4 linked regions of the Notamacropus eugenii genome follow. The protein of the gene in region 2 interacts with the protein of the main gene of each other region in a pairwise test. Links are inferred from orthologs where the notes say so. Each region holds a gene or a part of one and is shown on either strand. Other genes may lie near its edges.

What was found. The genes of interacting proteins can lie anywhere in the genome.
Region 1: the proteins of UBE2L6 (region 2) and RNF144A interact in a two-hybrid assay, tested with the Homo sapiens proteins (2 studies listed by BioGRID and IntAct). The link is inferred for Notamacropus eugenii from reciprocal best matches to the Homo sapiens genes UBE2L6 and RNF144A.
Region 3: the proteins of UBE2L6 (region 2) and ARIH2 interact in binary tests that used the Homo sapiens proteins (3 or more experiments, as listed by UniProt). The link is inferred for Notamacropus eugenii from reciprocal best matches to the Homo sapiens genes UBE2L6 and ARIH2.
Region 4: the proteins of UBE2L6 (region 2) and DTX3 interact in binary tests that used the Homo sapiens proteins (3 or more experiments, as listed by UniProt). The link is inferred for Notamacropus eugenii from reciprocal best matches to the Homo sapiens genes UBE2L6 and DTX3.

The regions. Positions count from the first base shown.
Region 1 is NC_092872.1:553,632,907-553,640,051, reverse strand, and holds the start of RNF144A (E3 ubiquitin-protein ligase RNF144A), read left to right. Parts: upstream 1-4,121; 5' UTR 4,122-4,248; coding exon 4,249-4,666; intron 4,667-5,377; exon of another isoform or gene 5,378-7,145. UniProt on the Homo sapiens protein: E3 ubiquitin-protein ligase which accepts ubiquitin from E2 ubiquitin-conjugating enzymes UBE2L3 and UBE2L6 in the form of a thioester and then directly transfers the ubiquitin to targeted substrates.
Region 2 is NC_092873.1:3,196,189-3,203,174, reverse strand, and holds the start of UBE2L6 (ubiquitin/ISG15-conjugating enzyme E2 L6), read left to right. Parts: upstream 1-3,963; 5' UTR 3,964-4,240; coding exon 4,241-4,267; intron 4,268-6,986. UniProt on the Homo sapiens protein: Catalyzes the covalent attachment of ubiquitin or ISG15 to other proteins. Functions in the E6/E6-AP-induced ubiquitination of p53/TP53. Promotes ubiquitination and subsequent proteasomal degradation of FLT3.
Region 3 is NC_092872.1:7,474,577-7,481,504, reverse strand, and holds the start of ARIH2 (E3 ubiquitin-protein ligase ARIH2), read left to right. Parts: upstream 1-3,904; 5' UTR 3,905-4,086; intron 4,087-6,928.
Region 4 is NC_092874.1:232,974,106-232,981,350, reverse strand, and holds the start of DTX3 (probable E3 ubiquitin-protein ligase DTX3), read right to left. Parts: upstream 3,025-7,245; 5' UTR 2,541-3,024; intron 1,660-2,540; 5' UTR 1,605-1,659; intron 1,157-1,604; 5' UTR 1,095-1,156; coding exon 1,082-1,094; intron 274-1,081; coding exon 1-273. Other genes in the region: PIP4K2C (phosphatidylinositol 5-phosphate 4-kinase type-2 gamma), read right to left, coding at 7,190-7,245. UniProt on the Homo sapiens protein: Regulator of Notch signaling, a signaling pathway involved in cell-cell communications that regulates a broad spectrum of cell-fate determinations.

The DNA.
Region 1 (7,145 bases), on a different chromosome or scaffold from region 2:
ATGGAAGTCCAAGTCACATGTGGTAGGAGGAGCTTGCTGAATGGGTAGAAGAGGAAGGGTGGAGCAGAGCTAGGAGAAAACTGGTGAGAGCAGTAAAGGCAGAGGTGAGAGAGGACACAGGCAGGCACAGCTAGTGTTGTGAGTGTTTGCATGTGGGAAGGTCAAGGGTGGGGTGGGGGAGTGGTGGCAAGACTTGGGAATGGTATTGTCCCCTGCAGTGCTAATGGGTAATGACTTCTTGGTTTCTATGATGGATTTGGCTTTCTGGTACTGGGATTTGGCTTTCTGGTATTTGAATAAATGTCTTTCTTCTGCCTCCTATATGGAGAGTCAGAATAGAATGACAAGAAAAGAACTGTTTACTGCTTTATTGAGAGCAGGGCTAGATTTTTGGAATACCATAGATGGTATTCCATCTATACAAAGTGTACCAAATGTACCAAGAAAAGGAGCTTGATACTAGATAGAACACAGAAGTAAAAACTACCCCTATAGATCCTCCTTCCTGAACCCTGAGATGCCCTAGCTTGCTCTTTTAAAGGAGAGCTCAAATACTGAGAATTCCCACGTGAACTAGCTAACTCTTTTTCCATCTGATTTTTTTTCCTTCAGCAGCTCATCTCTGCTTTTATACATAACATGATAACCTATTAATAAAATCCAGCCTCTCCTACATACCCTTGCCAATTCTTTCCCTGGTTTTATTAGTATTCCTTACAAACATCTTTCCAAATCTCTAGATTCTCTCTCCTGTAACCTCAGTTCCTAGGAAATTGACTGACCTCCAGATCAGATTAAATAAATACACAGACAGGATTACAGACCCCATATCAATTTGACAATATGTTGGAAAGATGGATCAACAACTATAACTAGGGCATTAATAGATACTGGGCCAGAGCCCTCCCTTAAATATGGAAGCCCTGATAAGTTTAAACATGGGACTCCTATAAGCATCACAGGATTGGGAAGGGCTGAAATATCAGCCAGACAAGTCAAACTAATGATGAAAATTGGACAATTACCTAAAAAAGATCTTGGGGCCAAATGTATTGTTAATGTACTTTTGCTTAATTTGAAGATCTTTCCCACCCATTAATAGGCTGATGTGACCTGTTTAAATCACATGGAAGCCTAAGTCATATGTGGTGGGAAGAGTTTGCTGAAAGCATAGAACAGGAAGGGTGCAGCAGAGATGCAAGGAAGTTAGGGAGAGCAGTTAGGGAGAAGGAGAAAGAGGACACAGGCAGGTACAGCTAGTGTGAGTGTTTGCTCGTGGGAAGTAGGGGGTGGGGTGGTGAGGCTTGGGAATGACATTGTCCCCTGCAGTGCTAATGCGTTTTGACTTCTTGGTTACTAAGATGGATCTGGCTTTCTGGTGTTTGAATAAATGTTTTTCTTCTGCCTCCTATATGGAGAGGATGTTATACTTTTTGATTCAGAACTATGTCAGCATATTCACAGTCACCATCGATGCTGTGAATATTATCTTGGTGACACATGGACCCAGATGGCTCTGGAGGAAAAAGTGAGGCTGATGACTTTGCACAGCCTTCCCTCACTTAAGTCCAATTTATTTGCATGTCATAGCATTACCTCCATGATGTCATGGTCCTCTTCAAGAATACAGGACAAACAACAACATCCAGTCTAACGTTCTTCCTCCTACATCAGGAAACCTCTCTACCTATGTCTTGTGCTTATGGGTTGGGAAATAAGTAATATAAACATCATTCTCTTCAAGTGGGGAGGAATAAAAGAGTTAAAATACATGAATACAGCTTCTCAGTGTTAGAGCCAAGACTTGGAAGATCTTTTGACTTTTAAATACAGTGCTCTTCTTCCAGGCCATACTTTCTTAATAGGATTTTTTGTATCTGTATCTTTCACAGACTTTGAAGATGAACCATGAGCTAAGCCCCAAACGGAATAGGAGCCAGGGTTTGTGGTTATTCCAAACTGCTCACTTCTGGAGAAGTCCATCTCTTTAACATGGCGATTTTCTAGTGATGCTATATGACTACAAATTCTGGAATACTATGATCTCATATTATATTAAATTACAAAGGGACTGAAAGTCAATGAATGGCAAGACACAAGCTGGAGGCAAGCAGGTTTTAGCATAAGATCTACAATGATCAACACAGCAGATTTATAAAGGACAATTATGAATGTAATAGGATGCGGTCCAGTCATGAGCTAGAGCAAAGGACATTCTATTGATATTTTCTGCATAGAAAAAAGAATCAGAGTAAAGTCTCCAGCATTTGGGGAGGGCTTCACTGGAGGATTTTATAAGGCTCAAGACTTGGACCTGAAGGAGACCTCAGAGACCGTTTAGTTAAACTTCATCATTGTATAGCTGAGGAAATTTAAGCCCAGAGATGTTCTGTAACTTGCTCCCTAGATGAAACAAATTATGCATATTAGAGTTGGGATACAAACTGAGCTTCTCTGATTCAAAGTACCATGCTATTTATGCTGTTTTTCACTGCCTCATTTGATAAGAATCCAAAAATAAATAGCACAGGATGAGAAGGAATGAATAACTTAAGTCAATCAATTAACTAGCTTTATTCAATGTCTTTTGTGTTCAATAAGAGGCAGATTGGCTTGGGGAATAGAAAGTCAGTCTACAAGTCAAAAAGGTTTGTGTCTGAGTCTAACATCTGACACATAGTGGCTGGAGGACACTAGATAATCTAGTCTATATCCTCATACCCCAAGCAAAATGTCTATGGCTTTAAGTGTTAAAAGTAGTTGATGGTCTTCAATGGTAAAGAGAATTTTCTTAATGGGAGTTTTCTATGTCAATGAAATCACATGTCAGGACAAAAAGGAAATTGTTTTTGCTTGTTTCTGGGATGCAAATATAAAAGTGAGCCAGTCTCAGCATTCATGGAGCATAGATTTCATAGGGATGATAGGATCTAACATCAAAAGAGAACTCTTAATCCCCTATCAAAAAGGAGGAATAGCTTGGGTTTTCAGATAGGTAATGCAAGACAAATACAAAATAAATACACAATGAGGGTGGGGAAGAATGGGGTCCCTAACAACTGTGAAAATCAGGAATGGCCTCTTGAAAGAGTACCCAGCATATGGGGAGGAAGAAGTAAAGAAGGAGAACATTCTACTTTGGGGGTACATCCAATTCAAAAGAATGGGAATGAGAGATCAAATACTGTGTATGGGGAACAGCAAATAGGTCAGCCTGGTGATGAATAGGTAGAGTATTTGGGGGTCAGTAATGTGTAATTAGCCTGGAAGGACAGGCTAGAGTCATATTATGAATAGCAATAGGGAGCCAGAAAGGCTTCTTGAACAGAAGAGTGGCATCGATATCACTTTAAGGAGATCATGAATCCACCTAAATCGCTAAGTCACTACAGAAATGCAGAATTGTTCTATGAAAGCAGAACTGCACCAGGATTTAGAAGTTACTTTACTAGTTCCACCTCTGCTGACACTGACTTTCTATGTGACCTTTCAAAAATCACTATCTACCTTTGGAAGTCAGCTGCCTTCACTGATCATGATGAGATAATATAGATCATGTGCTTTGCTGCTTGGCACAGGGTAAGTGTTCAATAAATGCTTGTTGACTGGTTGACCTTAAAATGATAGATAAATGTTAGCTATTATCATTATTATTAGTCTCATAACATGAAGAGGTTGAGCGACATGACCTTTTCCAGCTCTGACATTTTATGATTCATTATTACCATTTCAGCTGCTCCTTTCTTGTCATTTCTAGAGAAATGATGGCCAGATGAGATGGAGCTGAGTCATCAAAAATGACATCTGGAGCTGGAAGACGCATTTCTGGAGTATTTCCCTAACAGAAAGTGAGGGTATTTAATGGGACAAGGCAGCCCAAGAATCTATCCCAATGCCTTGCGTAAGGTCAATAGGATGGTAAATGCAGAACCTGGATTCTACTCCAAATCCAATATGTCCAAAGCCCTTCTATAAGCAAGTAGGGGAAGCAGGGTCTGAATTCAAGCTGAGGTCTCTTTTCACTTTAAAGAGGACGGATTAGGCTTCCGGTCTCAGATCCCAGGCTTTTCTTTAAGGAAGGGCCAGTTTGGGTGAGAAGCTAAGAGACGGGAAACTGGCCTGGGAAGGGAGGCGTTCTCCGAGTCGGTACTTCGTCCCCTTGGTCAGCAGAGGGAGCCGCGCTCGCGCTCCTAGGGGGTGGGGGCCAGGCGGGGGTCTTCCGAGGCAGACGCTGCAGCAACCCCCCGGATGCTTTACGGCGTCTTTGTGCTCCGATTAGCGGCCTCTTCTCCTCCCCCCTCCCCCCCTTTCACTCATCCCCCCGCCCCCCACCCCAGTAGCACTTCAGGGGCTGGGGGGGAGCCACGGTGCAATAAAGAGAAGCCTCCGCAGACGCCCCGAGCCAGACCTGGCAGCGGCAGGCGGCTGAGTCCCGGAGCAGGGCCTGCGCGGGCTGGGAGCAGGGGGGCGTGGGGAGCGGTGGGTGCCCGGAGGAGGGGCGGCGGCGGCGGCTGCAGCTGCTGCAGTGTCCGCTCGGGAGGGAGAGAGAGAGAGAGAGAGAGAGAGAGAGAGAGAACAGACAGAGGAAGGAGGCTGCGCAGCCCGAGGAGGCCGTGCCCGTGCCCGCGCCCGCGCCCGCCACGGCAGAACTGCGGCAAATACCCAGGTAAAGGAGGCAGCGGCGGCTCCGACCCCCTTTGTATGCGCACTGCGGACGCCTTCGGGAAGGACTCTGGGGGGAGGAGGAGGAGGAGGAGGAGGAAGAGGAGTAGGAGGAGGGAGCCCGTCCGTCAGTCCAGCCGCCCGCCCGCCTCTCTCTACCATGGCTTGCTCTGTCGCATCCAGAGCAGACGCCGCGGGAGCGGGAGGAGGTGGCCCCTGCCCGGCCGAGCCTGGCGCTCCCCGCGGCGGCTCTCGGGTTCTGCCCCCGCCGCTGCGGACCACTCTCCGGTCCACTGGCAGCAGGGCGGGCGGGCGGGCGGCGTTTGCCTTTGGCCTTGACTGCCCCGAGAGCTGGTTTGTATATCTGTGCAGACGGCGGGCCGCGGTGCGGGGAGGAAGGGCGTGGGGGCATTCTGGGGAGGTGGGCAGCGGTCTGACCTTCGAAGGACTGGGGTGGGGGTGAGCCTAACGGGGCCGGCGCCTCTTGCTTCTCCGGCATTGTTAATGCTTTTACATCCTTCTTCTCCCCCTCCCCGCCCTTTGCTGTGGGGGCTGTCTGTAGGTGATGGGTGGGGAGGTTGGCGTAGACCCGAGCTTTGCATCTGGCTAGACCCCTTCATCCCCGCGTTCTTTTCGCCACCTGCCCCGAAGACCAGCCCTAGCTTTGGATTTGGAAAGGGTTAGGGTGGGGTCGGGTGGGGGGGGGGCAGGGGATTGTCTAGGTCAGGTTCATCTGCGAAGGAGAGTGGGAACTGGGAATAGAGGTCAAGGTTGCTGGGTTGCGTTCCTGCTTCCTCTCAGCGTTTGGAGAGTTTGTGCAGCTCAGCTCTATCCAGTTGTGACAGCGCTGCTCCCATCCCCACCCTGCTGCCCTTCTCCTTGGCTCGTCTGCTTGCTCTGTGCATGAAATTGTCAATAGATAATCAAAACCCAGCTCTCGACTGGCCAAGAACTGGGCTGGCTGCTGCCTGCATTCCAGACATGGCGGGTCGCCATGGGGGTGATGGGTTGGGGGGGAGTGGTGGGAGGATTGCGGTTGTGTTGCTTGTAAATCTGAAGAATGATAATGCATTTTGAGAGATGGGTATGGCCGGTTAGTGGAGAGGTGACCCCTCCCCACAATCTGTGCTCCTTTGGCAGAAAGATTCCTTTTATTCATTGCAGAGAGACTAGACTAGGAACTATTTAATTTTCTTTGTGCTCCCAAGGCTCAGTGCTAGTAAGCACTTTTTAAAGGCTTGACCATTGAATCCCAGTCGAGTATCTACTTGGGCTATAAAGATATGTGGTTCTTGGACGAAACCTTAGCTCTTATATCTCTTTCTTCTTCTAGGGTTTGGGCTCACAACCTTACTATAAGACAGGGGAACAGCATGACGTAACACTTCACTCGATTTGTTCTAACGTGTCATCTTATTCTAGCACTTTAATGAAGATTAAAAGTCATAAAAGTAGAATCATAGAACATTAGGGCTAGAAGCTATTTTAAATATGATCTAATAATCATGATATAATAGCTCACATTTCTAAAGCACTTTATTATTTACTAAGAGCTGTTTTCCTCAAATGGTTCTTCTGCAAGGTAGGTGCTGTAAGTATTATAATGTGTTTTATAGAAGAGAAACCCAGAGAGGGGAGGTGACTTGCTTGAGGGTTTTCTGCTTCTTAGTGGCATAATCAAAACTAGAATTCATATCTCTTGCCTCCTCTAATTCTCTTTCAACCTTTTCTAGCTAGGCTGTCTCACTTACTTCCTTAATGATTTGGCCCAGTTGGACTGTTTCACATATTTCTATAATATACTCCTGAGGTTTTCCCTGGGTTAATAATGGGTTCTGCTTAAGGGAAGTTTTAATATGTCACATATAAACATGCTTTAAGATATGTAGAGACCACTCTCATTTTACCAAGGGTTGTAAAACTGTAGTGTTCTAGGCTGTATAAGCCTTACATAATCCATACCTATATTGTAAGGCTTTCAACCAGTTTCTTGAAGCTGAAATAGGTAATTTATATGAAGGTGCCTTCTTTATGCAGGACTAAGGAAAAATCATATGTGGGAGTTAGTCCTGGGAATTTCTTCTTCCTCCTTTATTTTATCATTTGTGAAAATATGAATACATCAAGGATCTGTGATTTACTGTGATTCCTTTCATCTATAAATTAGTAGAAAGGTAGATGGATTTAAACCTAGGTCTTGTTGATTTCAAGTACAGCATGCTTCCTTGAAAATACATGAATAATTTCTTTATGAAAAAAACAAAATTAATGAGAAAGGCTTTAAAATGGGGGCAGATGGACCAAGGCATTTCAGTATTCTAAAGAAATAGCTCTGTGACCTTGAGCAGTAACATTTCTCTGGACCTCAGTTTCTTCTTCAATGAAATGATGAGTTTGGATTAAATGATGTTCTTAAAGCCCTTTTCAGCTCTAAAAAAAGTCTGTTTCTGTGATTGTCTTCTAGGTGGAGCTCTATTGCTGAA
Region 2 (6,986 bases):
GCCACAGGCACACAGTTAAGTGTCAGAAGTGGGTTTTATAAAAGTCTCATTTTAACCTTTAAGATTGTGAAGACTTCTTTCTTTCTTATTCTTTTTTTTTTTTATGACTTCTTTCCAATGCACTTTCAGGTATATTATTTCAGTGTAGTGCTGTGCAGAGAGCCTAGGTCCTGGGCTAGAGAGTTCACTTCCCATTCTCTGTTGACAGATTCTAGCTGGATGATCCCAAGAGACTTACTTAATTCTCTTATGTCTTAGAGTGAAGGCTTAGATTCCTGACCTGCAAGAAATGGTTCCCTACCCTGCATTATTAGCAAAGGTTCCCAACTTGGGGTACATGGAATATTTGATAAGTAACTACTTCGGGATAAGGATATAGACTGGACTGGGGATTTCGTTGGTCTGGGAAACTCCTGTTAGGGAGTTCCTTATTAAAGGAACTTTCCTATACAAATTCCAAGCCTCACAGTCTCTACAGTCTCTCTTAGAGAGTGAAGCACTGAGAAGTTAAGGGAGTCATTCCTCCAGGGTCACAGGGACAATATGTGTCTGAGGAAGGACTTGAATCCAATTCTCCTGACTCTGAGGCCAGCACCTTATCCATTGTACCACCCTTCCTCTGAAGAACTGTAATATACTATTGAAATATTCCAAAAGTAGGAATTAGTGGGAAAAATTTGTGAATAGGATAAATTGAAAAACATTTAACTTTATGATACTAAATGTTATATAACAAAATCTATTTTGATTCCTATTTTACTTTTCATATATATGAACATAGTAAACAGGTTTTTTTTAAAGCAAACCTCATAGATCATGTCTATGATGTTATATTGAATTGGACACAACCAAACAACAACAAAATCTCTGAATGTAAATGTTGACTTGCTGTTGTGAAATTCAAGACTTATTGACATTTAAATTCTTATTAATTTAGTCTTCAAGCTGTCAGGTCTCTTATTTAAATTAAATACTTATTTAAAAAAAATTCTTTTCCATACTGAATAGGGAGTACAGGAAGTTTTTTGCTGAAATCTAAAGGGGACAGTGACCCAAAAAATGTTAGGAACCCTTGGAAAAGAATTTTGGAGTCCAGTTTGTGATCATGGGGGGGGGGGCTGAAGGGGACTTCTGAGGTCATCTGCTCAACCTCCTTACATTACAGATGAGAAAACAGCTCCACAGAGTTGCAGTGACTTGTTATACTAGGTAAGTAGCAGAGGTAGAATTCGAACTCAGGTTCTCTGACACCTAATCCAGCATTCCTACCACAATGAACTTGGGTTTGAATCTTACCTCTCTGTGTAACCCTGAGTTAGTTACTTTCCATCCCTCAGCCTCAGTTTCCTCATCTGCAAAGTGACACTAATCATAGCACTCTACCTCACAGAACTGGTGGGAAGATCAAATGAGAAGATGTGGAAGATTTTGTCACAGCTGTCTAAAACATCATAGCATAATACCATCAGTACTTAGCTTGAAGATCCATTGGAAGAACAGTGCTTTGTGAAGAGATTAGGAAATGGAAGCTATTAAAATCTCATTATCACAAGCCAAGTCTTATGAAGTGTTAGAACTTATTTTTCCTATTTTGCAGTTGAGGAAACTGAGTCCTGGAGAGTTTAAATGATTTGCACATGGCTACCAAGGGGCAGAACCTGAATGATTTCAGAGAAGTCTGGGAAGACTCGTATGAACTGATGCAGAGTACAATGAGCAGAACTAAGAGAATAATTTATACAATAACAACAGTATAAAGAAAAATAAATTTGAAAAGCTTAATGACTCTGATTGATGTAATAAGCAACCATGATTCCAAAGTACTAGTGATGAGACATGCTAACAACTACTTGACAGAGAAGTGATGGACTTAGGACCCAAAAGAAGATATACATGTTTGGATAAAGCAAATGGGGGAAGTTTGTTTTGCTTGGCTATGAATATTTGGGTTTGCCTTCCCTTACCCATCATGGGAGTGGGAAAAGGAGGGATAGGGATAATAGCATTTTTTTACCCACTACCCTAAATGAGAAGACCAGAAGGAATCAAGGACAAGCAGAACTTGCTTGAAAGTTATTTGTTGAACTTATTATGTACTTAAGAAGAAAAACAAGTTGTATACAACCCTACATACTGGAGAATTGCAGTTTCACATACAATCCTTACTGTCTGTTCCAAAATGTATATGGAAATGTTAGTTTTATTTTGTTTTAATTTTATTTTAAAATTGAGCATAAATATAAAAAGAGGGGGAAAACATCTACATGTGCTGCATATGCAAATATAAAAATGAGACAATCCTTACCCGCAAGGAGCTGACATTCTGTTAGAGGAGTAGTGGCCAAAGAAAAGTACCTTTTTGAAGCTAATCCATCTCTCAAAACAGAACTCTGGAGGGAGGCACAGAAGGGAAGGAAGAGAACTCGAACAGATTATAATATATCTTAGGACTGGAAGAAAACTGAAGCAGAAAAGGTTAGTGACTTGCCCAAGAGCACATCATTATCAATAGCAAACTCCTGGTATAAATCTTTACTTCCTGAATCTGGGCCTCATTTTCCCCATTTGTAAAAATAAAAGCCTTAAACTAGATGATTTCAGAGGGCCCTTCCTACTCTGTATCTCTGAATGGCATAACTCAAGGTCACATACCAAATTAAAGTGACTGAAACCAGTCCAGGTCTCCTTATTTGAAGGTCAGTGCTTTTTCCTGTATTTTATAAAAGTCAGCATTTGTACAGCATTTTAAGGTTTTCTTTTCTTTCTTTTTAGAAGCAACTGGGGTTAAGTGACTTGCCCAGGGTCACAGAGCCAGAAAGTGTCTGAAGCTTGATTTGAACTCAGGGCTAGTGCTCTATCCACTTCACTGTCTAGCTACTGCTTGATTTAAGGTTTTCAAAGTGTCCTACATATATTATGTGATTTGTTCTTCATACCAGCCCTGAATATATTATTCCCATTTATATGGGTTGAGAAAACAAGCTGAAAAAAGCTGAGATTTTCCAAATGTTCCACAGTAAATGTGAGAGTCAGGATTAGTTTCAAGTTTTCTTCACTCCAGGTGAAGTGGCAGAGGTTACAACCAGCAATAAAAAAGCAAGCTCAAGATAGGCAAGGAGGGTTGAGGTCAACTCCTCTGCCTGAGGACCCTTACTAGCTAAATTCGAACCCTATATCCAGCCTAATGGCATGATGTGGGCCTGGCATAATGGTAGATACACACTTAAAAAACAAAAAGAAACATTGATGATTTTTGATCTGATATAACTTTGGGGAGTTCCTGTGATGTCAGCAGTGTCAGAAATCCCTCTATGAATGAAAATGGCATCTTTTCTGCCGCTCATCATCTCACAAAGTCCCCTCGGGCACGGAGAGATGAAGTGACATTGTAGGGTCACTCAGCCAGAAGATGTCAGAGGAGAGACTTGGACCCAAGTCTTTCCAACTCAGAAACCAGCTCCTTACTCCCTCCATCATTTCTGCCTCTCTCCTTGTATTCCCTTCCTGTTATATCTATCCCTCTCCTTTTTTTTAAAAGTGGAGTTAAGTGACCTGCCCATGATCCCACAGCTAGTAAGTGTCTGAGGCAAGCTGAACTCAAAGTCCTCCGAACTATAGACTGCAGCATCCATCTAGCTGCTCCCCACCCCCACCCCCTTTCCTCCTAATTGAGACATTCCTTGTAACAAAAGATTGAAAAATCAAAGGAAAGGTTTGCCAAAATCAATGAACTTATCTACAATCTGACAGTATCGCAATATTCCATGCCCTTAGACCCCCCGCTTCTCCTAAGGTAAGTGAGGCCCTTGTTAGTCTCAGCTTGGCCGCTGTCTCCAGATTTACGAGCTAGAAGCTCCCCTAAAACTGCTCAGCCCTGCGGGGTCTGGAGAAGGAATGCACCTGTACCCAGGACTCGAGGAGGCGGTGCCATGGGGAGAAGGGGCGGGGCGGGGGCGGGGCATCCAGAAAAACCTCAAAGGGAGGAGAAACCTCAAAGATAAGCCCAGCCAATTCCTTCATTTTACACATAGGGAAGCAGAAGCCCAGAACCAAGATCACCCAGAGAATTCGCCGGAGTCAGAATTTGAACACAGATCTCGACGTCGGTTCCAGGGAAGGTCCGCGAGACCCAAACTACTCGTAAGGCGATCCCGCCGCCACTCACCAGCCCTCGCCCACCCTCCTTGCCTCTCGGTCAGCCAGGAGTCCCCCTGACTCCCCGCACTCCGCATCCCCAGACATGACAGCAAGCAAGCGCGCTGCGAAGGTAAAAGCTCTGGGCTGCGGTGAGCTAGGAGGGGTGAACAGGGTTGCCTGGTCCTGTCGCGCTCACAGAGCCCTCTCCCTCTGACCCAAGGCATCCTCTGCCTACCCTCTCACACCCCATCCTCCCAGGCTCCTGGTCCTCATCTAACCCCACCCTCAGGATTCCCCTTGCCCCCCCCATCCAACCACTGTTGCCTCCCTCTATCCTCCTCCTGGTCTACCTCATCTGTCCGCTGACCCGGACAGACAGAACACTCCCTGGGCGACCTCTGTCCCTTTCCTCCTGAGTCCATCCTTCATCCGGGAAGTGGCATGTGAGGGGGGCAGGGGAGAGGCCACGGGAACTGGTTTTGAGAGGCAGACGTAGAGGGTTTCCTCTGGTCCCCCCGAGGTGCCTCGGGCTTGGACTCCCTATCAGCCTGCTTTGAATCTCTTTCAGTTTCGTTTCCTGGCTACGAATGACCACAGTCCCCAAATGGAAATAATCAGCCAGCGAGTGTTTGTGAAGGGTTTCCTATGTGCCAGGTATCTCACTAAGTGCTGGAGAGACGAAGGAAAGCAAAGGGGGTTGTTGCCTTCAAGTTCCTCACATTCCAATTATATAGAATATCCTTGTTGTTTGTCCTTGGTTTTCGAAAAGGACCGTGACGTTAGGGAAGGGATGCCAAGACGTGCCAGTGAGTTGGATGGAAGTGAGGAAGAGCTGTGAAAAGTCCCCAGGCTCGCTTTCTCGTAGATGGGGGTCAGGGTGTGGTGATGAAGAGCTCTGAATTCCGAACTTGCTCTCTGTGAAGTTGGGGCAAAAGACGTCCTTCCCCTCTCCCGGCTTCAGTTTACTGCATAGATGGGGAGAGCTAGTCTAGATCTTCTCCAGGATTCTTCTAAAGCCTATGACGCTGTGAGTTAAAGTGAGCTGGCTGGGAGGGGGTCGAACTTTGGGAGAGTCACCCTTGGCAGATCCTTAGCGCCCTGGTCTGGTGTGGCACTGTCCACCTTGGGACCAGGACTGCTGGGATGTGGTAGGCAGCGTGGCATCATTGGAACAGTACTGAATTTACCTGTGAGATGATGGTGTTCTCATCTCAGCTTCGATGTTTACTACAAAGGAGGTAGTATATAAGGGTAGCTCTTTGCAAATCTTAAAGGACCGCAGAATTGTTGTTGCGGTTAAGCAGGGCGATAGAGAGCTGACCTCTCAGTCAGGAACACTTGGATTTCCGTCCTCCCTCAGTCACACATTGGATAACACCGAGCAAGTTTCTCAGCCTTTCAGTACATGAGTTCTCAGTGTCTGTGGTCCCTGGACCTTGGACTCTGAGGGTCCCCAAGACCCTTTCAGGGGAACTGAAAGCTCAGAACTTTTTTTCATAAGAATGCTAAGATGTTCTTTGAGTCAGTCTTCCTTTTTTAGCTATGTAGCTGTCCATGCATCTCAAGAGGGATTTTTTCATATATTTAAGCTGAAATACCAGATACAACAGATTGAATGCAGAAGCAGATGTGAGAATACAGCTGTCTTCAATTAAGCCAGTCATTAAAGAAATTTGCAAAAGTATGTAAGACAATACTATTCCTCATTAACATTTTTTGTTTGGAAAATTAGTTATTTTTCATAAAACATGCTATTAACATACTATAGGATTGCTGTTATTTTCATTGAATAAATATTTTTAAATGATTAGTTCTAATTTGTAATATAGTTATTAATAGCTAGAGCCCACATAAATATTTCTTCTTCTTCTTTCTTCTTCTTCTTTCTTCTTCTTCTTTCTTCTTCTTTCTTCTTTCTCTTCCTCCTTCTCCTCCTATAGGAATGAGGTGCCCAGGATCCAGGGTGAAGGTGATCTGAGTTCTCCACTTTCACTTTCTACTCTTCTAAACTGACATTTCCCTGACAATGAAAGACCTCAGGAAAGAACCGAAGAATTTTGGTTTTGAATTTGTTTATTGCAAAGGAACTCTCAAACTTATGGCAAAATAAGGACAAATTTTCCTCCTGTCAGGGACTACCAGGAGGGCTCTCAGTGTTCATGCTTTAAGCCAACGTAGAGCCACAGAATGTCTGAACTAGAAGGGATTTGCAGATGGTCTAGCCACGTTCTATTTTTTCATTTGAGGAAATGAAGAACTTTCTTGATGTCACACAGTGAATTAATGGAAGAGCTAGGACTGTGGATTCATTGGATTTAGAGCTAGAAGACAAGGCAACTGAAGCAAATACAGTTAAGTGACTTGCCCAGACTCACACAGAGAGTAAGGATCTGAGGCTAGATTTGAACTTAGGAAGATGAGTCTTTCTGCCTCCAGGCTCAGCATTCTGTCCACTTCACCCCCTACCTGCCCGCACTTGGCACATAGTGGGCACTTAAATGTTTGTACATTCAAGACAGTTTGGGTGCTGCTTTCTACATGAAGCCCGTCCTGATCTCAGCTGTTAAAGCCCTCTCTCCTTCAATTACCTTGTATTTATTCTCTATATACTTGCTGTATATGTGTACAAGTTGTCTCAACCAATGGGATGGTTGCTTCTTAAGGGCCAGGAGAATGTTGGGTTTTTCCTCTATATCCCAGTGCCTGTTATATTTACATACATTATATATATATAAAAGCATTTATTAAGGACTTACTATGTGTCAGGCACCACACTAAATGCAGGGAATACAGAGAAAGGCAAAAAATAGTCCTTGCCCTTGAAATGGAACTTACATTCTGATAGAGGA
Region 3 (6,928 bases), on a different chromosome or scaffold from region 2:
CATTGATTGTACTCGATGAGCCTACAAGGCATGAAACTTTGTTAGAATGTTGAAAGTATCTCCCTGTGAAGAATGATACGTTGTTGAGAGAACTAAAGACATTTCCCTGATTCATGGCTTATTGTTACTGTATCCCAGGTAGAAGAAGTTCCTGCCCTTCGACACCTGCTGCCCCAAAAGAAGAATCCTGAGTGGCTGCTTTTGGATAAATGTACAAAGCAGAGACAGACATACTCTCCCCCATAAAGTCAAGAGGAATCCTGGATAATGTCAAGTTTCAGATCCAAGCTTTGGAGAGGCATTGATATAACTTCTCAACCTTATGGTAGCCATTGAGCATTTTAGTATTCAGACTTCTATCTTGTCCTTGTGTGGCCAATACCTTGGCAACCCTCTTCCAAAGCTAGGCCAGCTCCATTTACCCCTAAGGGTCCTAGGAACAACTCTGAGGAGTTGGGGTAGCTTTGTCTAATACTATCAGCTTGAGCTTCCATTCTGGTCAGTTGTCCTCCACCATTAATTACCAATACCTGATACCTCAGTTCCATTTAGCCAATTAACATCAATTAACTATGAGATATTTATGCTTCAAAGGTATAACTAGAATAGAAACATAAACATTTCCCTTCAACACTTTCCTCAGGTCATTCTACGCTGTCACCCTAGTCTCTGGGAGGAGTGGGCTCAGATTTTGTTTGTACACAGCACTTGTTTTGAGTTTTAAATTTTGAGTTTTAAATTTTCTCAGTCACCTCCACCATACCACCCCTTAATTACCTTTTGAAATTCACAAGGTTGTAGCCCCTAATCTCCTCCACTTAAAACCAAAAACCAAAGCTAGAGACTAAGAACTGAAGTCCGTATTCACAGAACCCATGCCATCCTTAGACAGGGAGGAGCTAAGACCTCTTATCACTACAACATTGTTGCTTACTGTAATGCCACCAGAGTGGAAGAGTCAAAACCAAGAGAAGGGACAATGTTGACTAAGTACTTTTGGAATGTACCCCTAATTCTAGCTACTTGGCCAAGGACAGTAAAAGAGATTCCTATTTACTATATAGTTACACCAGTTACAGAATGTCTGCATTCTCCAAAATCCATGTGGGAAGTGCATCAGCAAGTCAAGATTGGACTTACTGGCCAGTCCCCCATTGTACTCACCATTTGCTCTTGGCTTCATTTCATCTCAGGATGAGAGGGAGCCAGTCCTGAAATACATATAAAAATGGAATTTACCAGGTGGTACCCTTTGCAAGTGAAGGAAATGTGGCCTTCAGCATGGACAGGAGCAGTAGGATAGGACTAAAGTCGCAAACAGTACTCAATAGGAGATCTAGACTCTGCTTGGAAGGGGAGTTACCTGTCCAGAAATCCTAAATGTGCTTCCCTTCTTGGGTACTCCAAGCCCTAAGAGCAGTGTGATGTGGCTATGTGTATATGTATGTATATGTGGCTATATGTATGACTTGGTTTCTGTGGATAAAAGAACTTACTTACCATTGTTGGGGAAAGCCAAATGTACTTATGCTTAAGAGTAATACCATACAGTTACATAGCTAGAGCAATTTCTGTGGAAAGACACTCAAAAACATCAGGGTTTGGATTGTTTGTCATCTCCAAGTATTTTTTTCTTGGATGGGAGATTTCAAACCATAGGGTATTTCTACAGTTCTGGAGGACTTTATGATCCTTGGAGAAGTGGGACCCACCAGTGATGCAGGAGAATTGTATTAGCATCACAGCATCTTAGATTTAGAGCTGGAAGTCGAAGAGCTTGGACCAGGTCACATAGCTTGTAAATGTCTAAGGCAGGATCTGAACTCAACTCTTCCTGACTTCATGTTCAGTCCTCTGACAGTCAATAAAGATTTATTAAGCACCAAACTACTATTAAGCACCAGGTACTGTGCACAGGGGATACAAGAAGAGGCCAAAAAAGTCCTGCCCTTAGGGAGCTCATGAGCATGCACACGTTCGTGTGTGTGTCTAACCTTTCCTACAAAAGATAGGTTTTTACATGGGACTTAAAGAAAGTCAGAGAAGCCAGGAGGTAAAAATAAGAAGGGAGAGCATCGCAGGAATAATTGAGAGCCAGGGAAAATGCTTGGAAAGGAGAAAGGAGTGTCTTGTTCGTGAAACAGCAGGAGGTCAGTTTCACGGATCAAAGAGTACATGTAAGTGGAGAGAAAGATGTAAGAAGACTGAAAAGATGGGGGGGAGGTGCTAATAAAAAATGTTTATTGACTGTCCTATTCACTCCATTAACTGTTTCTAGACAACTCTGTAAGTTGTTGATGTGTTTTCTGAATACGTTTATGAGCCCTGTGAGACCTTTGTATTTCTTGTGTTAAAAAAAATGTATTACTCTATACCTGATAAACACGACGTTTTGTTGAATTTTATGCCAGAATTGGGGGTACCCTTTTGCCCACATCTGTGGAGACCTAGGTGGGAACTATATAGTATGAGATTTCCCATAGTAAACTTGAGAAAATGGCAATGTGTGTCAGTTACTTTGGGGACAGCTTCTGAGACTGACCAAGCAAGACAGTACTTCAAGAAAGGAGATTCCCAACCCTTTTTGTGTCATTGGACCCCTTTGGCAAGTCTGGTAAAGTCTATGGATCTCTTCTCAGAATAATGTTCTTGAATATATAAAATAAAATGTATAGGATTACAAAGGAAATCAATCAGATTGATAAAATATTGATGAAAAATATTTTTTTAAATGTTTAGGAAGTCCCATGACCTAATAGAATATAAACTCATTGTGAATAGTCACTCAGTCAACTAGCACTTATTAATCACTTACTAAGGGCCAGGCACTGTGCTAAGTGCTGAGGTAAAAAGAAAGGCAAACAATCCCTGCTCTGAAAGAGGACAGTCTAAAAGGGTAGACAACATGCAAACCACTATATACAACAAACAAGGTATGTACAGGATAAACTAGGGGTAGTCCTCGAAGACAAAGCACTAAGAATTAAGACTCAGAAAAGCTTCTTACAGAAGGTAGGATTTTAAGTGAGAACTAAAGGAAGCCAGGGGCCATCTCCAGTAGTCCTGATCTATATCTGGCCATTGGCCCCAGATGACTCTGGAGGAAAGTGAGGCTGGTGACTTTGCAAAGCCCTCCCTTACTTAGAGCCAATTCACCCGAGGTCAAGGTCCTCCTCTAGAAGGAAGGTCAAACAACAAAGGAAGCCTCCTCAGTGCTCAGCCCTGGGTTTGACTCATGGAAAGCAGTGTTTTCATTCATTCATTCACTCCTAAGAATTAATTTTACTGTTAAGCCCCCCTGCCCCTTTTGAAGGCAGATGGATGATCAAGTCCACCAGTAAGATAAAGGTCATCAGCTTCTGCTCACCCCCACTCTTTTGGGTAAGGGAAGCTTCAGGATGCTCTACATGGATTTTAAGCTAGGCGATGATAAGAGGTCCTGGAGGGAAAGCCTTGCTCCCTGCCTCCCTCACTTCTACCCCACCATCAGCGGTGGATGAACGTTCTTCCGCACCGCTCTCCAACTTCGTGTTTCACGGAAAGAGCGCTGCGTTCGGAGGCCCTCTGAGTGCCTGCAGCTTGCTGCCTCTGTGATCGTGCCTCAGTTTCCTCATCTGAATGAGGCCCCTGCAACCTCTAAGGTCTCTAAGATCCCAAGGCGATGACTTTTCAGCACTAGAAGAGACTGGTCTCCAGGGTAGGAAGCAGTCAGGGAAGTCTGGGGTCGGGGTGAGGGCAGTGCCTCAGACTGGGGGGGAAGGAGGGGCCCCGGCAGGACCCCCCACAGCGTTTGCTTCTCGTCATCTTCGCTCGGGAGAGCGACCGCCTCACGGGGAAAAACCCTGGAACCCGCGGGGGCAGACCGGGAAAGCTCGGCCACCCTGACCCCGGCCCCGGAAGTGACGTAACCGCGACGGGCCGTTTCCGGCTCAGGCGTCGGCGGCGTTTGCCGGAGGAAGGAGCCCGAGGGAGCCGCGTCGGTACAGTCCCCTGCGCCTCCGGTCCCTTCTTCCCAGTCCCCCGTCCGGCCCCGGCCAGGCCTGGCCCGGCCCGGGGCACATCGGCCGCGGGGACCCCGGCGTCCGGGTAAGTGCGAGAGGAGGAGCGAGTGGGCGCGCGGGGCCTTGGCCTTGGCCTTGTTTACACCTGACGGGAACCGGAGCCGGAGCCAGGGCCAGGGCCAGGCCGGAGCCAGAACGGGAGCCAGGGCGGCCTCGCCGGCTCCGACCTCTCCCCGGCGGAGGCCCGGGCCTCTCTTCGGCCCTACCCGGGGCAGCCCGCTCGGCATGACACCCCGTGCCCCCCAGACCCGGCCGGGCTGCCAGCACCAGCCTCCCCCGCCCCGGGCCCAGCTCGTTCTCTCTTGGGGTAGTTAACTGCCGGCCACTGGCCCTTGGTCCACGGTCAAAACCCTGGTCAGGTCTGGGAGGCGGTGGGGAGGGGGACACGTGTGTATGTGTGTAGACGGGGGCATGGGGGGCGCTTCCCTTCCTCCCGGGCCCTCTGTCTGGCTCCCCCCTGCAGCTCCTTTTCCTTTGAAACGTGTGGAGGGTTCAGGGTTTCTGGGGAGATGCCCTCCGGTTAGGGTTAGCCTCTTGTTTAGGGAAGTTAGACCCGTTCTCCTCCTACACCCCCCTCCCCCCAACAGTCCCCACCTTTTTTGTGTGCCTTTAGAGATCCTTAGGAGATCGTGGCTTGAACTGGCCCTACCTAGTCGGTGTCTGCTGAATGTTTTAAGGAGTTAAGCCCTCTTTATGAATCCTAGTTTCTGAGGTTTCCCCTGAATAAAACGTCCATGCCTGTAAACCAAACATCAGTGAAAGTGACAGGCCTGGCTCTCGGATTGCCGGAAAACAAAACGACACATTGTTGTCTCCTAAGTGTGAAATGTCAAGTTTCTTCCTATGGGGGGCTCTATATGGGGCATTTTGTTCTTAGAAATGTACATTTGCTCTTCGTTGCTCCTGACTCTTACCCATTACCCTTATTGCCATTTTGTATATATTATTCACATGTTGTCCAGCACAGTGCCTGGCATATAGTAGGCACTTAATAACGCTTGTTGATTGACTAAAAAAAACTTTGTAACTGTTTTCAGAAAGAATAAACTTTTGGTTCTGAAAAGTGAGTAAAATAGGCTACAAAGTGAATAATGGCCTCGGTGGGCAGTGGGCAAGAAAAGTTTGACTCAGTTACCAATTCAGATTCATTTTTATCACTTTTACTTGTCAGGTGGGTCTGTTTTGGTCATGTGATAGGAAATGGCCTGGTTCTTCTATCCCTGTCAAGCTGGGAAACTAAGTTGTTGAATCATAGTTTTTTTTTCTGGCCTAGATTTTTTTCTCTGCAAAATAGAGAAATAGGTATCCTCTGGAAAACGGATCAGTTAGTACTAGCTTTTTCAGATATTGAAGTTAGTTAACCTTTTCAGATTAAAAAACATACATTTCTCAGGGTTGGTTGTTTTTTTTCTTTTGGTTAATCTTGGAATGATTTATGGGCTCAAAGCCAGATTTAGTGATGGAATTTAGAAGTGGGTATTAAGTCTCTGAACTTTGTTGCATTGTGTTTTGGCATTTCCAGGTCTTTATTTTATTTCTTTGTGGGAAATAGGGTCAGTATATCTTGAGTGTCACCCATTTAGGTGTGTGAAGCTGAAAAGTTTCTAGTGTGCATTGAAACCTTGGGAGATTGGCCTATCTGTAGTGGTGGTGCATGTCTGAAATCCCTGCTACTGGGATTCTCAGCTTCTGTAGGGTTAGAACCATTCTGGTGTCTGCAAGGATTCTGTCATCAATACCATCCTCCCATCCCCAGTGCTAGCAGGATGTCTAAGGAGGGATGAACTGACCCAGATCTGAAAAATGGAGCCAATTAAAATTTAGTGACCAATCACTATTGGCATCAGTGTGGGCATAGCCACTGCCCTTCCAACCTGAACCACATAGGTAGAGCTAGTCTCTAAAAAACAAACCAACCTAGAGAGGGAACACAATAGAATTTCGACGTATTATTACTTGTGTTGATTGGTAATAGTACTTGTCTCTTCTGTTGTGCTCTCTGGTTCCTTAAGGAAAATGCAGGGTATGTGCAAAGCAAAAATATATCTTAATTTGTTATAAAAGTGAAAGATTTTTATGTGTGATTTCTGAATTTTTATTTATGTATGATTTCATAGGTTTAATGAGGTTCCTCAAATGAACCATGTAATTGATTATGTGAAAATATTTTGTTTTGTTTTGGATTTTTATTTCATCAGCATCAAGAGCATGCTTACTAGCAAACAGATGTAATTTTTATTGACATAGTATGCATGTATATTCTTAGTTTACTCCCCTGTGGTTCTATTCACTGTTTTCATGATTTCTGAGATCAGAACATGATTGCCATTGTGCTGTATATTTTGTCTTCATGCTTAGACTGTAAACTTCCTAAGGGCAACAATTAATGAAAGTATTTGTATCCCTAGCACTTAGCATTATGCTTGATACATGCATTTATTTCATTGGTATATGTATTTTAGTTTGGCTCTATGATCTCAGTGAACCCCAAGGAAAATGACCTTTGTGCTGGAAGTGACAAAACAAAAATGATTAACATGTAGTTGATACCCAAGATAAATAAGGAGTTAGTGATGCAGGAGATAGAGTGCTAGGCCTGGAGTCAGGAAGAAAGACTCAGCTCCCTGAACTTCCTGAGTTCCAATCCGTCCTCAGATACTTAATAGTTGTATGATCCTGGGCAAGTCACTTAACCCTATTTGCCTCAGTTTCCTCATCTGTAAAAAAGAACTGGAGAAGACAAATTGCTCCCAGTATCTTTGCCAAGAAAACTCTATAACAGGTCATAAAGAGTTGGAGAAGACTGAAAAATGACTGAAGATCACCACCAATTCATTGATGAATTCAAGTCACCTGTAGTATTGAAC
Region 4 (7,245 bases), on a different chromosome or scaffold from region 2:
CCTTCTCTGCCTCCTTCAGCAGCCCCTTGAGAGCCTTTCTAGCAAGGTAGAGGCTATTGGGAGGGGCTGGGTGGGGGCCCTGGGGAGCAAGCTGGAGAACATAGATGTCCGACGTCTCTCCATCGATGAGGATGGATATTCGGTGTTCATCCCGAAGCCGGGCCAGTCGCCCTGGTGTTTCCTTGCTCAGGAAGTCCCACACTGGCTTTGAGACCGTCACCTTGTTCTTGCAGCTGCCCCCACAGGCCGCCATCCTGGACAGGACGAACGACACTGCCCCAGAATGAAAGGGCTTCAGGATAGGGTCTATTTGCCAAATACCAGTGCCTCTACTCTCAGTTCCCACTACCTACGTGAGATTAGCATTAGCCCCATTCCAAAGCCCAACCCAATACCACCTCTCACCAAAGAAGTACCCATTTTATTTTAATCTCCAAAGTTCAGCATCCCTTCCATTCTACTGCATTCTAACCAAAGTTCTCCCAGTAAAGACTAGGGTAATTCCTCAAGATGAAAGATTATATTGCAATGTAAGGAAAGTTGCTTCAAGGTACAATGGCCTTCTCATTTTCATTCAATCCCAAACCCAAGGCATAGTATCTCTTCCTGGTCCCCCCTCCCACAACTCCCAGCAGTCTTATAGGGTCTTCTTTCAGAATGGGAGATTCAATTGATTTATTACCATTTAAACCAAACATATGAATTGATCCCACTTTCCCCTATAGTTACACTGATTACCTTTTTCCCTGTCCAGGGTAAAGTCATGTACCCTGGCAGGGAGGCTTCCCAGCCTGGCATATCCAGAATTGGCTTTCCTTTTCTCTCTCTATGTCCCTACTTATGGGCTAGAAATATCTGATCTAATGGTGGTGGTGGTGAGTCTCTCTGTCCAGAGTTGGGGAGAAAATAAGGGAACCTTCCTGGATACATCCTAACTCAGAGACCCTATGTACTTGAGCAGCCCTGGGAGTGGAAGAATTGGGATTTCTAGAGTCAAAGTTACTGAAGCACTGAAAACAAGATCCCTGGGGTAGGAACAGTGAGGGATGGGTAGGCATCAAATTACTTGGAGGACTGGTACCTGGAGAGCCCATGGACGATGGTGGCAGGAGGAATCCCGGAAGTTTCCACACTCAGCTGGACTTTGACCCCAACACTGGGTGAGGGCAATAGGGTTATAATAGAAATTGTTTCCTTACCTGTCCCTCCCTTTCTCCTCCCTCCTTGACACCAGCCAATTGCACCCGGCATCTCCCTTTCTCTTCCCCCACCCTTGGTATTCCATCCCCTTTCCAAAAGAAGCTTTGTGGAGACTGAAACTTCAATACTCCAGCTTCAAACCTCTTTTCATCCCTAACACTATGACCTTACTTCAGGGGCCTTTTTCCTTCAGTGAAAAGATACGAGAAAAGAGGAATAACTGATATTGGAAAAGTCTCAAAAACTGATCTGTCAATTGTCTTAACCATTATCCTGCCCCCTTGCCCTCAGTTCAAACAGGTAGGAATTTCCTCTGTGTTCTTGCACTTCCACTGCTCTCACAATTCCTCCTGATTCCCAAATTGTATACCCTCAAGGCCTGCAAATCCTCCCTAAGGTCTAACCTTAATCACTCCTGCTTGCTGGCTGTTGAAGATGTGGACAAAGTGGTAGCAGACTCTATAACAAAAAAATATCCATAGTTCACTCTTACTAGTTTAAGACCAGGTATCTCATCTGTCCATCAGCATAGGCTATCATGGATGGGGAATATTCATACATGGGTCTAGTTCCTAGAAACTGGGGCATGCCCTTCGTGCTCACAGGTGTACTTCCTCAGGTCTCCATCTCTCATCCAGCTAGGAGGAGAACCTCGGGACTGAACTAGGGGTCAAGTTTAAATTCTGGCTAAATCAAACATTGACCCTCTCTGTTGGGAGAAAAGGCTGCCCTTGCCTGTGTCTCCATCCTATCCACCCCCCCCTCCACTTCCCATCCCCCTCCCAACCCCGAGGCTGTCTACCCCTAAGGGCTCTTAGCCCAAACCCTGGGGCAGGGTGGCTCCAGGCTGGGAGCCCTGTGACAGCGGAGGGCAACCCCGGACACTGGTTTGGCTAAGGAAATGTCGGGGGGAGGGAAGGGCCCGGCGGTCCGTGACCTACCGGGCCGGTCCCACCCCCCAGATTGGGGCGGGGCCAGCGAAGCTGCTGGAGTGGGCCCGGATCCCCGAGTCCCCATCGCCCCTTTCCCGAAGCCCTCACCCCGCGCCACACCGGGCCCTGACTGCCCCGGCGCACACACGGATACACACAGACCCCGCGCGCACACGCCCGGGCCCCCTCCCCGGCCCCGCAGCTGGCAGGCCCCGCCGAGGCCCCGCAGCACCCTCCCCAGCATCCATCCCCCCGACCCCGCAGCCCAGGGGAAGACGCCCGGCTGGGAAGCGGCCGCCGCGGGTGGGGAAAGGCGAGGGTCCCCGCGCTCCGGGGAGTCGGGTCCGAGGGGCGCGAGCCCGCGTCCGGGGGGCGCTGGGGGGAGGGGGGGCCGCCGGGCTCACCTACCTCCCGTCAGCGCCGCCATCGCCGGTCACATGACTGAGGCTGTTGCTGGGATGACGGTCCGGACCTTAGCAACGGGGTGGGGGGGAGAGGAGGGAGAGGGATGAAGATGGGGAGGGGGACCGGGGAGGGGGGACCTAAAGGAGGGGAGGCGGGGCCCACAGCAGCGGCCCCCTCCTCCAGATCGGAGGCGACAGTTGCCGCCTCTCGGGCTCCACCTCCAATCCCGGAGCGTCCTTCCTGCGCCTCCCCAGCCCTCCTTCCGTGAGGACGCTCCTGGGGGCGGGGAGAGAGGGAGGGAGGGAGCGAGGGCAGGGCAGGGAGGGGTGAGGGAGGGAGGGAGCGAGGGCAGGGCGGGGAGGGGTGAGGGAGGGAGGGAGCGAGGGAGGGAGGGAGCGAGGGCAGGGCGGGGAGGGGTGAGGGAGGGAGGGAGCGAGGGAGGGAGGGAGCGAGGGCAGGGCGGGGAGGGGTGAGGGAGGGAGGGAGCGAGGGAGGGAGGCTGGGAGGGAGCGAGGGCAGGGCTGGGGGAGGCGGTGAGGGAGGGAGAGGCGAGCCAGCCTGGGAGCCCGGGGAAGAAGCCCCCCCGCCCTCCTTCACCTGTGCCCCTCCCCAGCACCGCCTTCCACCTTTCTCACCTTTTTGCTTTCCCAGTCCACTGCGCGGCTGCCGGTGGGGGTGGACGGAGCCCGGGCAACCTCGGCTTTGTGGGAGTCGGGTTGGTCGAGCGAATCGACCTGGAAATTGGATGACCTGAGTTCAAGGGCCACCCGAGACCCCTCTGAGCTGTGTGGCCCAGGGCGAGTCACTGACTTCTCTGCCCCGGGTCTTGACAGGGAGATGATCTCGAAGATGCCCGTCGGCTCTCTGTCCTAGATTTATGAGATTGGGTGGAAGGAGCCCCCTTTCGACCATTTACCCACTTTTAGGATGTTCATTGCAGATGGAGCCACAGAAAATTGAAATGAAGGAATAATGGATATTAAAAATACGCCCCTGTTCTCCGTGTGACCTAGGATAAGCCATCTGACTTATCTGAGGCTCCGTTCTTTATGGGCAAAATGAATGGACTGGACTAGATGGCTGGTCCCTTTCAACTTTTTGAGTCTAAGATCCTGAAGTTGGGTGAAGGGAAGACACTCTTTATCATTTACCCATTTTAGCGTTCAGGCCAGACAGGAACGCAGGCAGAAAGGTGGAATAGATTAAGAGAATAATACACCCCTCAACCCCATTTCTATAGCATTTGGAAGTCTTATAAAGAGCTTCGCTCATATCCATTATTCAAGGTAGATGGTAAATTATTATTCCTCTTTTACAATGGAAAAGCCTAAGGAACAGAATTTTCAATTTCAGCAACTTTTCTATTTTTAGTATTTTATTTTTCAAAAAACAAAAATTTTACTTTTTTCCAAGAGATCTGACCTCTTCCACTTCTTTCCCCCTCCCCACTGAGAAGCAAGAAAAAAAAAAACCTGTTAAAAACATATATAATCCAGCAAAACAAATTCTCATATTAGACATGGTCAAAACCATTGCCTTAATTTGCATTCTGAGTCCTCTCTGCTAGGAAATGGGTAGCAGATTTCATCTACAATTCTCTGTAATCATGGTGGGTCATGGTTTTGATCAGAATTCCTGAGTCTCTCAACATCAGAATTCTTAAGTCTTTATGTTAGTGTTCTCCTGGTCCTACTCAAGGAAGAGTCTTTTTCACGGCCACTCAGTTAGTAAACATCTACCTGGGGAATTCAAGTCCAGTTCTCCAGGTGCTGAGGTCAACACTTTCCTAATTATACCATGACTCTTAAAATAACCCTGTATTGCTCTCAAATTGAAGTCCCCTCCAACAATAATCCTCACCCATCTCCAAATGCCAAAGTCAGAGCCCAACTTTGAATTTACAAATTCTTTAGCCCACACATTAACAGAAAGGGAAAATGAGGAAGTAGAATGTTATCAAGGTGCCCTGAAAAAGGGGATTCAAAGTTCATTTGCTGCTCAGCCCTTCTAATACTCCTCCCAAAATACCCAGCCTAATCCAAATCTGTGCTGCATTCCAGATTAAAACCTTGTACCCTTTTGTTCACCCTAGGGCCTCATCTACAAGTCTTTTTTTTTTTTTAACTGTTTTTTTTCTTTCCCAGCAGCCAAAGAGGAATTTAATAAGGAGGCTTTTGGAAATCCCAGGGGACTGTTGGGAGAGCACTATCAATTCATTCTTCCCACCCCTGGGACTAGATGACTGATTTTTCTCCAGCATGCTTTCCCAGGACCCAGCTGTATCCCTTCCCCTCACCCACTCTCTCCCTTGCAGTCAGAAGATTTCTTCCCAAGAAGCTTGCTTCCTACTCAGCTTCTCTGCTGAAAGGACACATGCATTTTATTGAAGGGCTATGTGTTCCAAGAAATCAAGATCCCAGAGGAGGTTAACCTCCAAGTTCAATATCTGGCACTTCAAAGTTCTCATAGTTGAGAGATACTTCTCTTTTCCTCTTCAAATATAATCTATTATATTCCTAAGGCAAAAAACAAAAACCTCAGGCAACCCAAGACTTTTTCTTCTCCTCTCCCCTTCCCCAAATATTCCATTTTCCTTTAAGGATCATCATCACTCATCCTCAAAACATAGTCTCCAGGTTTAGGGCACCACAGTTTTGCTGCTAGACTTTTCAGCTCCCCGTTCTTCCTTATTCTGAACCCCAACACTCAATAACAGCTTTTTTATAGTATTTTAGGGTTTCCAAAGCACTTTAGTCTCATTTGATCCCTTTGACAACCTTGTGAAGGATTAAAGGCATTATACCCATTTCACAGATAAGGAAGATTAGAGAGATTAAGTTATTTGGCTAAAAATATACACTACTAAATTTGTAATATGGGATTCCCATCCAGGCAGTGTCTATTTACTCCATGTCTAGTACTCCCATGCCACAGTGAATCTCAAAAATACACAAAGCACAAAGAGGGACCAGTTCAGGTTTAATAATTTACTTCTATGTTGAGACAGCAATGGGAATATGCAAGATTATTATTTTTTCTTTTCTTTAAAAAAAAAATTGCAACAAATGAAGACACCCATACTGCCCCTGATGCATCAGCTACATGGTCAGAAAACCAATTTCTAGAGAAAGGCAGTTGCAGGTGTCCTAAATTTTATTGCATTTAGACAGGGGAAAGATAGGGGGAAGGAGTAAATTCAACCAGGCCCCTAGAGGAGGGATAAGAGGGAGGCACATATTAGATGTCACACATACCACACACACACACAAATCAGGTAGCCATAACACACACACACACATACACACACACACACACACACACACACACAACTTCAGTTTCCTCCTCCTGAAGAATAAAAGTGGGAGCAAGGGAGTAGGTGGGAGAAAACATTCACAGGGCTATCTCTTATTGACAGAACAGTCCAGCCACACAGGGAGTACTGCACTGACCCATAACCTTGGACAATACTGGAGAAACCTGGGAAGGAGTGATTGTCTCAACTCCAAAGTGAGTCTATAGCCCTTTCCCCTATGCTCATGCCCCTCAACCCCCAGTTAGATATACTACTCCTATATAATTCAGGGAGGGACAGTTATGGCTGATTCCTCTCAGGAGGTAGGGAATAAGGAGGACAATGTCACCTATTTCTGGGAGATATAACAACAGCACAAGGCAAGTTGAAAGGGGGCAGGCTGATGACAAAGCTGAAGGGAGAGAGGAAGAAGGAATGGTGCTGAGTTCAATTCACCCCAAAAATAACCAGGTTTGGTCCAGGTTGAGGAATTCCCCTGTCCCTGGAACAATACCCAAAAGTAAGTAGACAAAAAGAAAGTAATATTAAATATAGTGAGCTTTTAGCTCCAGAATCTTTCTTTACCCCAGTCTCCCAGACTAGCCACCTAAATGCCTAAAGAAATGGTCCCAGTCCCAGGTAGGGACAGAGGCTCTGGTATCCAGCAGCAGCAACCAAACACCAACCCCAACTCGGGCCTAGACAGAGAGAATGCTAAAAGACTTAGGTTCTCAGGACACTGGGGCTAGGAAACCATTCAAAGTCCCTGACAAAGCCAAGTAATCCCTCAAGTCCCCAACCCAGTGAGAAGCCAACCTGCTGGCTGCATCTTCCACACACCCCTCCACTTCAATGAGCAAGACTGGCTACACCACTTTATGCACACTGCTGCATCCCCATCTGCCCCAGGTACATGAGGGAATGTTGGAAGAGTGAAGAGTGAGCCTCTATGCCTCCAATAAAGTTAAACAGCAAAGTTCAAGCCATGCTTAGGCTCAAGCTTTCCAGGCCAGAGCAACATCCGGAACCAGTCATTGGTCCTGCCAGGGTCAGAAGATACCCCTCCCCCCAACCAATTCAGCTCCTCCTATTTTACAAAAATAAAACGACATTTTACAAAGATCAAGGCACTTGGGAGTGAAAAAAAAATCCTCAGTAAAACCCTAATGAAGCTGACTCTGGGGCTGGTGTGGGTAGGACAAGAAGCAGGGAGGACATCACTCTGGGAGCGGGGAGAGGCAACCTGGACTTAGCTAAGGAAGAGGACACCTGTAACTCCTTCAGTCTTCCCCCTATAGCCCTGTCACTCTTTCCTCCCCCACCCAATCTAAGGAGATATCATGGAGTGCCAGTTAGTCTCCTAGGCAAAGATGTTGGTGATGAAATCTAGGAACCGCTTGGCATATTGATCAGGAT